3 linked regions of the Neurospora crassa OR74A genome follow. The protein of the gene in region 3 purifies or fractionates together with the protein of the main gene of each other region. This does not show direct contact. Links are inferred from orthologs where the notes say so. Each region holds a gene or a part of one and is shown on either strand. Other genes may lie near its edges.

What was found.
Region 1: the proteins of NCU01606 (region 3) and NCU03558 purify together in Saccharomyces cerevisiae (affinity purification with mass spectrometry; 3 studies listed by BioGRID). This does not show direct contact. The link is inferred for Neurospora crassa OR74A from reciprocal best matches to the Saccharomyces cerevisiae genes ATP5 and ATP15.
Region 2: the proteins of NCU01606 (region 3) and NCU09119 purify together in Saccharomyces cerevisiae (affinity purification with mass spectrometry; 3 studies listed by BioGRID). This does not show direct contact. The link is inferred for Neurospora crassa OR74A from reciprocal best matches to the Saccharomyces cerevisiae genes ATP5 and ATP3.

The regions. Positions count from the first base shown.
Region 1 is NC_026502.1:232,464-236,120, forward strand, and holds NCU03558 (hypothetical protein), read left to right. Parts: upstream 1-1,492; 5' UTR 1,493-1,634; coding exon 1,635-1,666; intron 1,667-2,370; coding exon 2,371-2,488; intron 2,489-2,678; coding exon 2,679-2,765; 3' UTR 2,766-3,112; downstream 3,113-3,657. Other genes in the region: NCU03559 (ubiquinol-cytochrome c reductase complex core protein 2), read left to right, coding at 1-510, 574-669; NCU03557 (amino-acid N-acetyltransferase subunit Mak10), read left to right, coding at 3,588-3,624. UniProt on the Saccharomyces cerevisiae protein: Mitochondrial membrane ATP synthase (F(1)F(0) ATP synthase or Complex V) produces ATP from ADP in the presence of a proton gradient across the membrane which is generated by electron transport complexes of the respiratory chain.
Region 2 is NC_026501.1:5,400,815-5,405,011, reverse strand, and holds NCU09119 (ATP synthase subunit gamma), read right to left. Parts: upstream 2,829-4,197; 5' UTR 2,604-2,828; intron 2,525-2,603; 5' UTR 2,244-2,524; coding exon 2,188-2,243; intron 1,785-2,187; coding exon 1,204-1,784; intron 1,141-1,203; coding exon 1,007-1,140; intron 922-1,006; coding exon 793-921; 3' UTR 491-792; downstream 1-490. UniProt on the Saccharomyces cerevisiae protein: Mitochondrial membrane ATP synthase (F(1)F(0) ATP synthase or Complex V) produces ATP from ADP in the presence of a proton gradient across the membrane which is generated by electron transport complexes of the respiratory chain.
Region 3 is NC_026502.1:2,975,404-2,979,401, forward strand, and holds NCU01606 (ATP synthase subunit 5), read right to left. Parts: upstream 2,515-3,998; 5' UTR 2,399-2,514; coding exon 2,255-2,398; intron 2,069-2,254; coding exon 1,757-2,068; intron 1,497-1,756; coding exon 1,404-1,496; intron 1,291-1,403; coding exon 1,177-1,290; 3' UTR 526-1,176; downstream 1-525. Other genes in the region: mob-1 (protein kinase regulator), read right to left, coding at 3,098-3,263, 3,493-3,586, 3,653-3,819. UniProt on the Saccharomyces cerevisiae protein: Mitochondrial membrane ATP synthase (F(1)F(0) ATP synthase or Complex V) produces ATP from ADP in the presence of a proton gradient across the membrane which is generated by electron transport complexes of the respiratory chain.

The sequences.
Region 1 (3,657 bases), about 2.7 Mb from region 3:
AAGTACTTTGGTGGTGAGCAGCGCGTTGCCAAGAACGGCAAGAACGCCATCGTCATTGCCTTCCCCGGTGCTTCCCTTGGCGTCCCCCACCCCGAGACTTCCGTCCTCGTCGGTCTCCTCGGCGGTGTCTCCAACATCAAGTGGTCCCCCGGTTTCAGCCTCCTCGCCAAGGCCACCGCCGCCAACCCCGGCGCCGAGGCCTTTGCTCACAACTACGCCTACTCCGATGCTGGTCTCCTCGCCATCCAGATCACCGGCAAGGGTGCCGCCGTCGGCAAGGTCGCCGTCGAGGCCGTCAAGGGTCTCAAGGCCATCGCTGCCGGTGGTGTCTCCAAGGAGGACCTCACCAAGGCTATCGCCAAGGCCAAGTTCAACCTCCTCTCCGCCAGCGAGGTTTCCGGCACTGGCCTCGTCCACGCCGGTGCCAACCTTCTTGCCGGTGGCAAGCCCATCCAGGTTGCCGAGACCCTCAAGGCTCTTGAGGGCGTTACCGCTGAGAAGCTCCAGGCTGTATGTGTGAACCTACAAGAAGTTGGAAAAGAAAAAAAAGATATGCTAACAAACGTTCAACAGGCTGCCAAGAAGCTCCTTGAGGGCAAGGCTTCCGTTTCCGCCGTCGGTGACCTCCACGTCCTTCCCTATGCTGAGGATCTCGGTCTCAAGGTATAGACGTAGACTAGACTTTGGGGGCGCAGAGCGGGTTGTGCAATTCGTAGTTAATTGAAAGAGGAAATACCTAAACGCAGCGAAACGAACCGATTGAAACTGGAAAGGCGTGGATACTTTTTTGAGAAGACGCCAGGGTTGGGAGACAAAAACCAAAACCGTGTACCAACAGCAAAACCGGCCGGGATGAAGTGTGTTGTAGACCTTTCTCGTTGTGAAGCGGGAGATGAAGAACGAACGGCTGGGGACCGACGACTTTTTGTGCATATACAAACCTCTAGACTTTTTATCATTCCTCGCCACTACTTCTCTAGCAGAGCTATAAAACACAAAATGCAGCAGGCATTATTTCTTTTGTTGACATTGGATACCTGTTACAAACGAGGGTGAAATGTCAAGCTTAAGGAATGAGATGAGATATGCTAGTGAGTTTTACGGCGAAGATAAGTAGTTTGGAAGAGACGAGAATGCTTGAGCTCATTTGAAAGTTTACAAATGCGATAGCACATTCAATGTCAAACATCAATCACACAGGTCCATTCAAAATAGGTATCAGGGGTCGATGTTTACTTTTGACCTTGTTAGGTAAGCTGCCGAGCTTGCCCTGGCGGCGGCGGCGGCGGGCGCCCGTAGCTCCTGTTCCGTCACTGCATGGCATGGAAGGAAGCTTGGGGCGGCGTCTCAGTTGGGGGAGTTGGGGTCACAACTGAAGACAAAAAAAAAGGAGGGGCATCACGTGACACACGACGGAGCTTCGGGCAGCGGAGCTTCTCGGGTTCCCTGGTGTTGGATGTGGATTGGGTGGATGGGTGTGCCAGGGTGGGGACCAGTTTTGTCGAGTCGAGAGTGAACCGAATCGCGCGCAAGCAAGTACCGCAGCAAGCAGCAAGCAGCAGACAGCAACAAGTCTTTCTTCGTTTCACCGTCAAGACAACACCCACCCACCCACCCCACAATCTTCGCCCAACATGGTGTTCGCTTGGAAGGCCGCTGGCATTACGTGAGTATCTTGTCTTTTCGTTTTTATTGGCTTGGGGACGGGGAGAGGCAGGGCAAATAGGGCAGTTTATCGGAAGTGTGGGAGGAAGAAGACCAGAATTGCCGCGACAGAGAGAGAGAGAGAGAGAGAGAGAGAAGGATGGAGGAGGATGATGGGACCAACGAGCCTGCCTACCCACGAACGAGCTCGACAACAGAGATTACAACGATTACATGCGCCGAAATCTGGGGTTGTAATTGCCCCGCGACTTGAAATACGATCGATGGACGACAATCTACGGGCGACCTACAACAGGTGGAATGAGAAAGACTGGGAGAGAAAGAGGACGGAGATAACCCCAGGTCATGGACGACAGCAGGACCCAGGGAAACATTGAGGGAGATCAAGGAGAGAGATAATACACGACACACTTGGTCGAGAAAAGCGCCGAATGTCCATGACATGGAGAGACGGGCCCGAATGCGACAAAAACACCGGAAAGCGAGCAAGCGATGCGTAACGACGACTTCGAAGCAACAAAGCAGGCCAGCATTCATCCAGAGCTACGACAGACATACGCACTACAATCACCAGATAGCGCACGGAATGAGCAACACACGAGGATCAGGAGCAGGGCAAGAGGGGGGAACATAGCAGAGGGGACCGGACGAGAGAAAACAGTACTACAAGACAACGAAGGCTAACACGGTTCACGAAAATTACAGCTACAACCGCTACCTCGCGGTCGCCTCTCGTGCGCTCCGTCGCTCCCTCAAGGAGGATAAGAGAATCATTGCTGAGCGTCGTGGCGAGGCTGCCGAGGTCAAGTTCGCTAAGTGGTCGGTACGTAATAATCTTTTTGTCTTTTGGCTATCGGGGAACAATCAGACAAGAGAAGAAGAAAGAGGAGGGGGGAATGTCACGAGTGAGGAGACGGAGAGAAAAAAAATCATGAAGATGGATGGACACCGGCACTGGACGTAAACAACACGAAAGAGAAGCTAATCACACCCCCTCTCTTTCCAAACTACAGAACGGCAAGCCTGGCGAGACCGTCAACCTCAGCTCCGCCAACGCTGCCGCCGCCGCCGAGAACGCCACCTCCGTTCCCTCTTCTTAAGCGGATCGACACACACACAACCAACACACCGTGACGATGTGCTAGGAATGGTGGTGTAGTGGTGGACCGGGAGATGAGAGAAATAGGGTCATATCGCGAATCGCTCCCGCATGGCACTCAAATCCTCACCTCCTGCCGAGTGTCACTAAGCCCGAAGACGTATGACCTGTATCATCAAACATATTGGGGGAGCGAGGAAGAGAAACTCAATAGACGGTTTATTGGCATTTACTTTGTGAACTGGGTGTGACTGGTTGGAAGTGAATCTGAGTGACATATAAATGAACTTGAAAAAGTGTTAGAATGGGTGTGCCGCTCATTGACAGAGGTAACAGGTCCGAGAGTCGTAGATGTTGCACAAGGGATTCCTTTCCCTGAAGTACAGCGTCTCATTGCCTCTTTGGGCTTCATTGCATGATATGCAAAATACGGTAGGCGCTTATTCGACGAAGCCAGTTGAGTTGAAAGATTGGGTTCTTAAAAATAGAAAATGTGATCAATAAAGAATTGTTTGTCATTTCTTAGCAGCCTCATCAACCCACTGACAAGCGGAAAGTGAGGAAGCTTACCTCTAGGTAGGTATGTACCCGAAAGGGGAGTCGGTCGTTAACATTCGGGCTCACGGACGCTACCAGCAAAGAAGTCCGGGCAGCCAGGCACAGACTCAGGTTCCTCCCCTAACAGAGCCAAACATCACCCGACTTCCTCCACTCACCTAACCACAAACAAACAAATGTTCATCTCAAGTGCATACTAATTACCTTTCCTACGGGAGCCCATCCATAGCTCTTGTAAAAAGAAAAAAAAAAAAAACACAAGACCATGATCCCAGACGACCACCAAGCTGCAGTTCAAAGAGGTTTGTTTCTTTCGCTACAATTCCCAAAATTTC
Region 2 (4,197 bases), on a different chromosome or scaffold from region 3:
TCCCAAGGGCATAGATGCAAACGTCGCCTATACTAAAACCAGGCGGGGAAGTGAGTATGTACAAAACTCCACAGCAAATGAAGCAGCCAGTCCTTTTAACCGTTGAACATCGGAAAAGGATTAGAAACTTCCATCCCATCTCCCATGCTCTTCACACATTCAGTCCCATCAAGCGCCCCAAACAAGCGACGGCGGCGCGGAATGGAGGCGGGATAAGACAGGATGATATTGGAAACACAAGCAACTCCTCACAAATATACGAACCCATCGAGATGGAAGCCCCACCCCTTATCACCCGTCTGCGGCTTTTATTTCGAATGAAAGTTGGCCGGCGGCGTGGTCAGGTTGCTTACTGAGAATTTACCGACGAATTTGTACTGAGCGACATTGTCATGCATCTGACAAGCGCTCATCCCAGCTGAGATTTGTTGAGTGGACTGAAACTACAGCGGCTATGTCTTCAAGGCTTACTGACGACGGAGTGGGCAGGTGTGTGAAAGAAGTGGTACAATTTATGGACTGAAGGCGTTGGTACAATAAAGGAAAGGCTAGCTCATTTGATTGGTACAAAGGAAGGCATTTGGCACGCAGCTTTTTGGACCAGGACTAGACATACCACACACCACGCATACTCGTACACTTTCGAACGGCATGGTTGAATGTCAACTGAGAGTGCAGACAGGGATGATGGATTTCGGCTTTGGACCCTTTTCTTTTACTCAGGTCCCCTCTCCTTTTCCCTCAATACATCTTCGTCTTCTATTAATAGACTGCGGTTGTTTAGGCTGCTGTTTACATATCGGCCGAAGCGGTGGCACCAGTGATAATTTCGACCAACTCGCCGGTAATGACGGCCTGGCGAGTACGGTTGAAGAGAATCTGGTACTTGCTGATCATCTCGCCGGCGTTCTTGGAAGCGTTCTGGATAAGGGGTAAGAGAATTCACGTCAGCAGCCTGTCCGCTGTCGACTTCAAAGAGGTGGCATGGGACGGGAGGAGAACTCACGTCCATGGCGTTGCGACGGGCAGAAATCTCGCAGGCGTGACCCTCGCAGAGAGCCCAGTAGAGGGAGTTGGCGAGGGCGTACTCGCGGAGGTTGCCAAGGACCTCTTCATCAACCTCAAAAGCGGAAAAGTTGGCTGGATATAACTTAGTCAGCTGACTGAACCTCGACGGGCATCACGGTGGCCGACAGGACGTACGGGAAGCGAGGATGGCATCCTCAGAAAATGCCTCAATGACGGTGGGCTCGTAGCTGGTGGCGTTGATGAACTTGTTGTAGACAATCTCAACGGAAGAGTAGTCGCCCTTGAGCTGGGTGATCTGGTCGGCGATGGCAGAGGCCTCGACGAAGGTGGGGATGTCCTTGCCAACACCGGAGAAGTTGAGGACGATGTCCTTGGCGTTGGTACGGGAGAGCTGGGCCTTGGCCTTCTCGCCGATGATGACGATGTCGAACTCAGGCTCGGTGGCGGCGCGGCGACGGATGAAGCGCGCAAGACCGGAGTGGACACCACCGCAGAGACCCTTGTCGGAGGAGCAGACGACGACGAGCTTCTTCTTGCCCTCAGCCTCGAGAGGCTTAGTCTCGGCCGAGGTGAAGACCTCGTTGCTGGTGGCACCGTAGCCGCGGGACTCGGTCATGGCACGCTGGGCGCGGTTGAGCTTGGTCGAGGCAACAATCTTCATGGTGTTGGTGATCTTCTCGATGTTGCGAATCGACTTGAGGCGGGTCTCGATTTCACGGAGAGTCGCGAAGGTGGCCGCGCCGGGAGCAGCCGCTCTGTTGTCATGACCTTCAATCAGTCTGCATGTTCTGTCTCAAGGTTCGATGTGTCGGGGCTATCGCGTGTCCGTTCTCGTTCTCGTGTGCGTATGGGTGTGTGTGTGTCCAACTCCTCTTCTCTCTCTCTCTCCCCACCCGACCCGTTCCCTGCTTGCTTGCTTGTGCTGCCCCTCCATATATCGGACGTCATGTATCGGGGACCTGGCGGCGCAATCGCATTCGTTTCCAAGTCGCACAGAGAGCTGAGAGCCAGACGAAGACCCCGAGAAGCTGTAGTCGGTTGGTGCACGGTGGTTGACGAACAGACGGAGGCGAGATGGCGAGATGTTGGACGGAGACGGACGGAGCACTCTTACGGAAGAAGGACATGGTATTTTTTTTTTCTTGGGAGAGCACCTACCGGGACGAGACGGCGGCTCCAGCTCTCAGGGCCGGGCGGGCAGCTCTGGACAGCATGTTGAGATGGATATTTGACGAGGGAGAGACCTGCTGGAGAGGAGTGGCCCGGGGTTGACCACTTGATATTCAGGCGGCAATTGATCGTGGGGGAGTGATCAATAGGAATAGGACGCAATTGGCGTGAGAGGTTTGCTGAGGTCGGTTCCACACTTTCCGCTCTCTGCTCACTTTCCGGCCGTGCTTTCTTCGTGAGGTGTGGCTCGCCATCGTGCCGCTGTCCAGTCCCCAGTCGGGCGCCTTCGCCTTTTTCCCGGCTAGAGCCTGGCAATGGCTGAGGACTGCTGCCCGGCCATTGGCTTGGTTAGTTACTGGCTGCCTGCCAGCTGCGGTGTGCTCCCCACGCAGCACCTCACTTACCTATCTAGTGTACCTATGGCCCGGATGTACACAGGTGGAAGGCCATCTTGCTGCCGAGTTCTGCCAAACTTTCTTGCCAGCCATGACAGCTGCCAGAGCTACCATGTGGGTGGGGCACCCGGTCTGGCCCGCACCTGCGATCCTGCACCGCGGCATCAGTCTACTCACTTGCAGATGAACAAGCGGTACAACTCACTTGTGGAATTGAAGGCTGTCTTGAAAAGCTCTTTTTGTTCCGTTCCTGTTGGGCACCGTGCCATCCACCTCACTGAAACCTGCCTACTTAGCTTATCTCAGAATCAGACCTCTTTTTTGGGCATGGGCGGCCTGCGGCCGGGAAGGGGGCTTGCGGCCCGTGCGCTGCGCGTACAATGGAAAGGGCGCTGCGCGCCCGGAAATTCAAATTGAATCTTTCTAATCTTTCAGACTTGTGGTCCGTGCATCTATTCTTTTAGTATATTTAACGGTATTGATTGAGAACGCCTAAAAAAGAGGTTTGAGTTCCCAATCAGATAGGAATTGTAGAGGCTGGGATAAAATCACTAACTTCCCAGTAAGACTCTATGATAATAAAATAAAAAAGGAAGTTCTGGAACTTTAATGGGTATAGGGAGAATCTACTCGACGAGACGAATCTAATAGTATAATTAGTTTTTTAATGCGTCCAATAAAAGTGCCAAGTTTTTGTATAAACGTAAAAAAATTAGGTGTTGACACATGTCAGTTGGCCGACTAGCTATTTACTACAATACTATATTTTATCTCAACTTTTTGAAATTTTGTAGGTATGATTATTACAATTGTCTTATCCTCCGAGTACAATTCGCTTATCTTTGCGATGTATTATTTTTTTTCTTCGAATTTTTATTCTATTAGTACTACATTCAATGCTATAGATTCCGATGTTAATGCCCCTATTAATCCCTAATGCGTACTAAGAGTTATGAAAAATATTATTAGTAATAATAGAGAGCCTCGAGAAGGCTAGGTTTAAGTGGTAGTGCGGCTAGTATGCGAATAAAAGGATACGATATTAGTTGTGGTAATGGGCTACGGAAAAAGTATTGTCCTATATGTATTTTTAGCTTTGTATAATAAAATTACGATATAAATCGTACTGTTTACTAAGCTTAGGGAAAGTTAACGTAATGATATTGCTACTAAGGTGCTAGATTTAAAGCTAGTATGGGTAGATAAAGACGTAATTCTAAGAGTAAGCTTTTTGCCCCCCTTTTATACTGGAATCCTACTAATTCGTATATAGAACCGGGATATTTAGGACTAGATTCAATGCGGCGATTATACCCATGTTTTACTGAGCCTAGAGCTTGCGATAAGTGTAAAATTTAAGGCTATATTGCGGTCCCTAGAATTCTATAAACGGATCGGTCTTTTTGCTATTGATGAGTTATATTGCGTATCAAAATAGCGCGAATTTCGATAGGAGTTTCAATATCTATATACCTTACGGCTATTATTGCCTAAGAACATTCCGTGGTTTGGCTGTACAATTATGTTAGTTAGAATCTATTAAGACTTTATTATTAAAAAGGCTGGTTTTGATGCTAGAAACCTCGAAATTATTAGAATTTCC
Region 3 (3,998 bases):
GGAGGATAAGATAAAATGCAAGACAAAAGCAATTGGGATCGGCAGAGACGCATACATTACAGCCAGCCCAAGGCCAAGGCTGTGCTAGTCCCAACCAAACGTCGTTGAGACACATCCTCGAAGATTTCCGACACGATATCCCGAAATACGCGGGCGCAGCATGGCTGACAAGCGGCCGATGAAGTTTAATGGAAGAAGTAAGCTTGGACATACGACGATGATGCGTAATGAGTTGGACTTTGGACGGATGATGTCGAGCCCGTATCTCAATCAGGACAGAGAAAGCGATATAGTAGCACAAAGGTGAACAAGGCTACCTCTCGATCCGCTCGATCAACTAGCTGTTTTTTTCTCGGTGTTTCATTACTAGATGTGGATTATGTATACGGAGTTTAGGTGCCTATATGGTTTTATCATTAGCATGTATATACCATAGTGTTTATTTTTAGTGTCAAAAGACACCCCCGTATTAGCATTGGATATGTCTCTTTTCACTGTTTAAACGCCTCGAACCACGCAGCGAATGTGCAGACTCTTGACAGCGACGGCATGTCGTATACAGAGTAGGTAAGATAAGGTAGATAAGTAGGTAAGTTGCTGTCCGGTAGGAGGAAGTGGTACGTATTGATCGGGCCCGATTATCTCAGCCGAAGCAAGTGTCATGCGTCAAGCAGGTCTATGCCTCTGGTAACACAACCACGGCCATGCATGCCTGCTGAAATTGAATATGGGCCTGAATAATCTTGGAAACACTCACCTCCCATAAACCCAGTGCAACATGTCAGGAAACCTTTGCACTGTTTTGCCCTTTTTTTTGTGGCAACAACAAGAGTCCAAAACACGAAACAACGAGGGACACTCTCGAGAGAGAATTGACTGGCTGTAGAATCTTTTAAAATTCCAAGCTCATCCTACACACAAAAGGGGGTTCGTTCCCCTTTTCTTCCCCCTTCCTCCCGTCTTTCCTGCTGCTGCTGATGCCCCAAAGACCATGTCCGCAACACAGGAGTTTAACTCCCTTTTATAGCAGATGACGTAACGTATGCGCTGCTTCACTTTCGCCCATTCCAGTAGAGACGCGCAATCAGGAGAGCCGTAATAGTCGGTCGGTTTGGAGGTTGTTCATGCTATAAGATTTGCTCTGCTCTTCTTAGGAAACTCGGATAATTGTAGAATTTACAGGGCCTCGCTAAGGAGCTTGTTCATCTTGGCGATCTTGGAGGAGACGGAAAGGTCGATGGTGCGCTCACCGATCTCGACGACGAGACCACCGATGATGTCGGCGTTGACCTGTTCAAATTAAAAGAGAGAAGGTAAGTAGTTGTTTTGCCTAATTTCACCAAGCAGCCGGGTCGGGTATAGCTCCAGTTTTGCCGGGTTGGAATGGTGTGAGATAAACGCACCTTGTTGGTGACCTTGAGCTTCTTGCCAGAGCCGACGTAGGGGGACTTGGCAACAGCGGACTCGAGGCGGTTGAGGGTCTTGTTGTCGAGGGGCTATATGGTGGTAGTTCAGCATTTCGTTAGCGCTTCTGTTTCCCATCTCCTTGTGTTTCGGTTCACCCAGGATCCCAATTCCAGCCAGAGCTTCCGCCAATGTCCAAGCCCAATTTCATTGTCGTCCTCCTCTTCCTGGTCGTATAAAATCCCCCCATAAGCTCGGCTCCCCTTCCGTCATCGCCCTCGTAGTTTCCCTCCTCCTTCTGATTCTTCTTTTGCCCACCATCAAACAACGTAACGGAACAAAGCGAGCGTACCTGAGCGCTGGTAACGACCATCTCAACCTCACCGCGGGCGGCGCTCATGAGCTCGCTGAACTTGGCGACGACACTGGGGAGGAGACCGAGGCGGTTGTTCTCGGCGAGGGTGGCAAGGAAGTTCTTGACGGTCTCGTTGGAAACACCGACGCTCTTCTGGAGCTCGGCAACGATGGCGCTCTTGTCGGCGGGGGAGAGGGTGGGGGTCTCGAGGATGCTGGCGAGCTTAGGGTCCTTAGCAAGGAGGTTGCCGAGGCTGCTGATGGCCTTGGCGGTAGGCTCGAGGGCGCTGGTCTTGACGGCGGCCGTGTACTATATCATGTGTAAATGACGCAGGGAACTATGTTAGCTCTCTGATATTCTGTCTATCGGTCCATTGCGTTCGGTTGTCGGTTTGGCTGATGTGGGAGAGCTCCAATCGACATAACCCTACGAACACGGGAGCTCGAGGGTGCTTCAATTGCTTGTGACGTCGGGGTCCGGGGCGCGAGGGCGTACCAGAGCAGTGGCATAGGTGCCGTCGAGACCGAAGAGAGTCACGGGAGGCTTGACCTTGCTGGAGGCGGCGGCGGCAGCAGCATAGGTGCGGACCTGGGTGTTGAGAACCCGCGCGGGGCGGAGCAGGGCCTGTCGCGACAACATGATGGGCGTGTGGGATATGCTACGGGTGGACGGGGGACCGCGATGTCGTGAATTCAAGCTCCGGTTCAGTTTTGTCAAGGTAACGGGTGGGTTTGGAGCCGCTCGGCAAAACCGTGTCTGCCTCAGGCTGCAAATCCTGGAGCTGCGCCGTAATGGTGCCTCTGCCAAGACTCTTTAGCCCGCCAACTGCCCAGAGCTTCTTCTCCGGAACTGCCCGTTCGTGCCAAGTGCAGTGGGGCAGGCAAGCAACATCCCGATAACGTTATCGGTGCCCTGCCATCCCGTCCGAGCATCGGCACTGCATGCATCCTCGACATTGACATGAAGTTCCGTGAGAAGTGAAAGCTGCGGCAGCATTCGTGATGTCAAAAAGCGTCTATTTCCACGAGAAGCTCCAGGCCTCTCTGTCCCTCTCTACAACGAAACAACAAAAACCCAAAGAGATCCCGGTGCCCTTTACGCGCCATCAAAAGCATGGGATGCGCGTCCCTTCCTGAATTCCGTGGTCCCTTAATCCCTTCTATCAGCGCCCGTTGCCAGCCCACCATACCAAACGAAAACGAATGCCTGTAATGGAACCAACCCGCACCCAACCTAACGCCTACGTGCTTAGCCCTGTCAAATAACCATGCGCCAATGCCAAAGCCATACAAGATTCTGTCGTCTAGTCGCTGCGTAACATGCTGTCGACCAAGTCGCCTAGCGGTCCCCAAAAATCCTTGCCGGTTGCCAGGTTGTGCTCATCGATAAATAGCACATATTGCTTGAAGCTGGTGTTGAGATGCGGCTCCAGGCCCAGTTCCCGAATGACGGGGTAGTGGTGGCAGTAAATGTGAGCGTAAACGCGGTACATGCGCTTGAAGATCTGGCGGACCAGCGCCGGGAAGGACTTGGGGAACGGAACTCCAATCCTGCTTGGTAGGACGGCCTCGTTGTCGATGTTGCCCTGGACCCAGCTCATGAGCTGTTCAATGTAAGCGGGCGCAGGCATCTTGGTCGGTCGCTTGTAGTTCTCCGTGTCCTGCCACAAGTACTCGAACCTAAACTCTGTCAGTGTGTTGGTCGCGGTGTATGATGTTGTGATGGAAACGTACTCGTCGGTCGCCTTCATTTCGGGGCAAGTCTGGGGAGAGCAGAACTCGGTAATGGCGCCATAAAGGAGGTTGATTTGATTGTAGAAGTCCACCACTAGCATAGCGGGTCAGCGGATGGCCCTGGAGCAAAACAAGCTGGGTCGGCGGGGTTGATGCTCACTGTTGACAGCCAACCACTCATTCTCGTCTTCACCCTCAGGCAGCTTCACCACTTTGCGCAAACTTCCTCCGCCAAGTGTTGCTTCGGCATATTGTCGCAGCTGGTAGCTGGTCGCACCGCCCTTGCCGCTCGCCCGAGGTCGGAACTGGTTGCGCGTCCGCTGATTTCTAGCGGCAAATCATGTTAACAGCTATCCCACACAAGATAGAATTCATGGCTTTACTGAGGAGGTCGAAAGACCTTCCAGTTATGCGGTGTGTTGCACCTCCTGGAAAGGAGATGGATGCGACGGCGAGCGAGCTTGTCCTCGCTTCGTTGCCAAATTACGTCATCGCATCGCCAACTA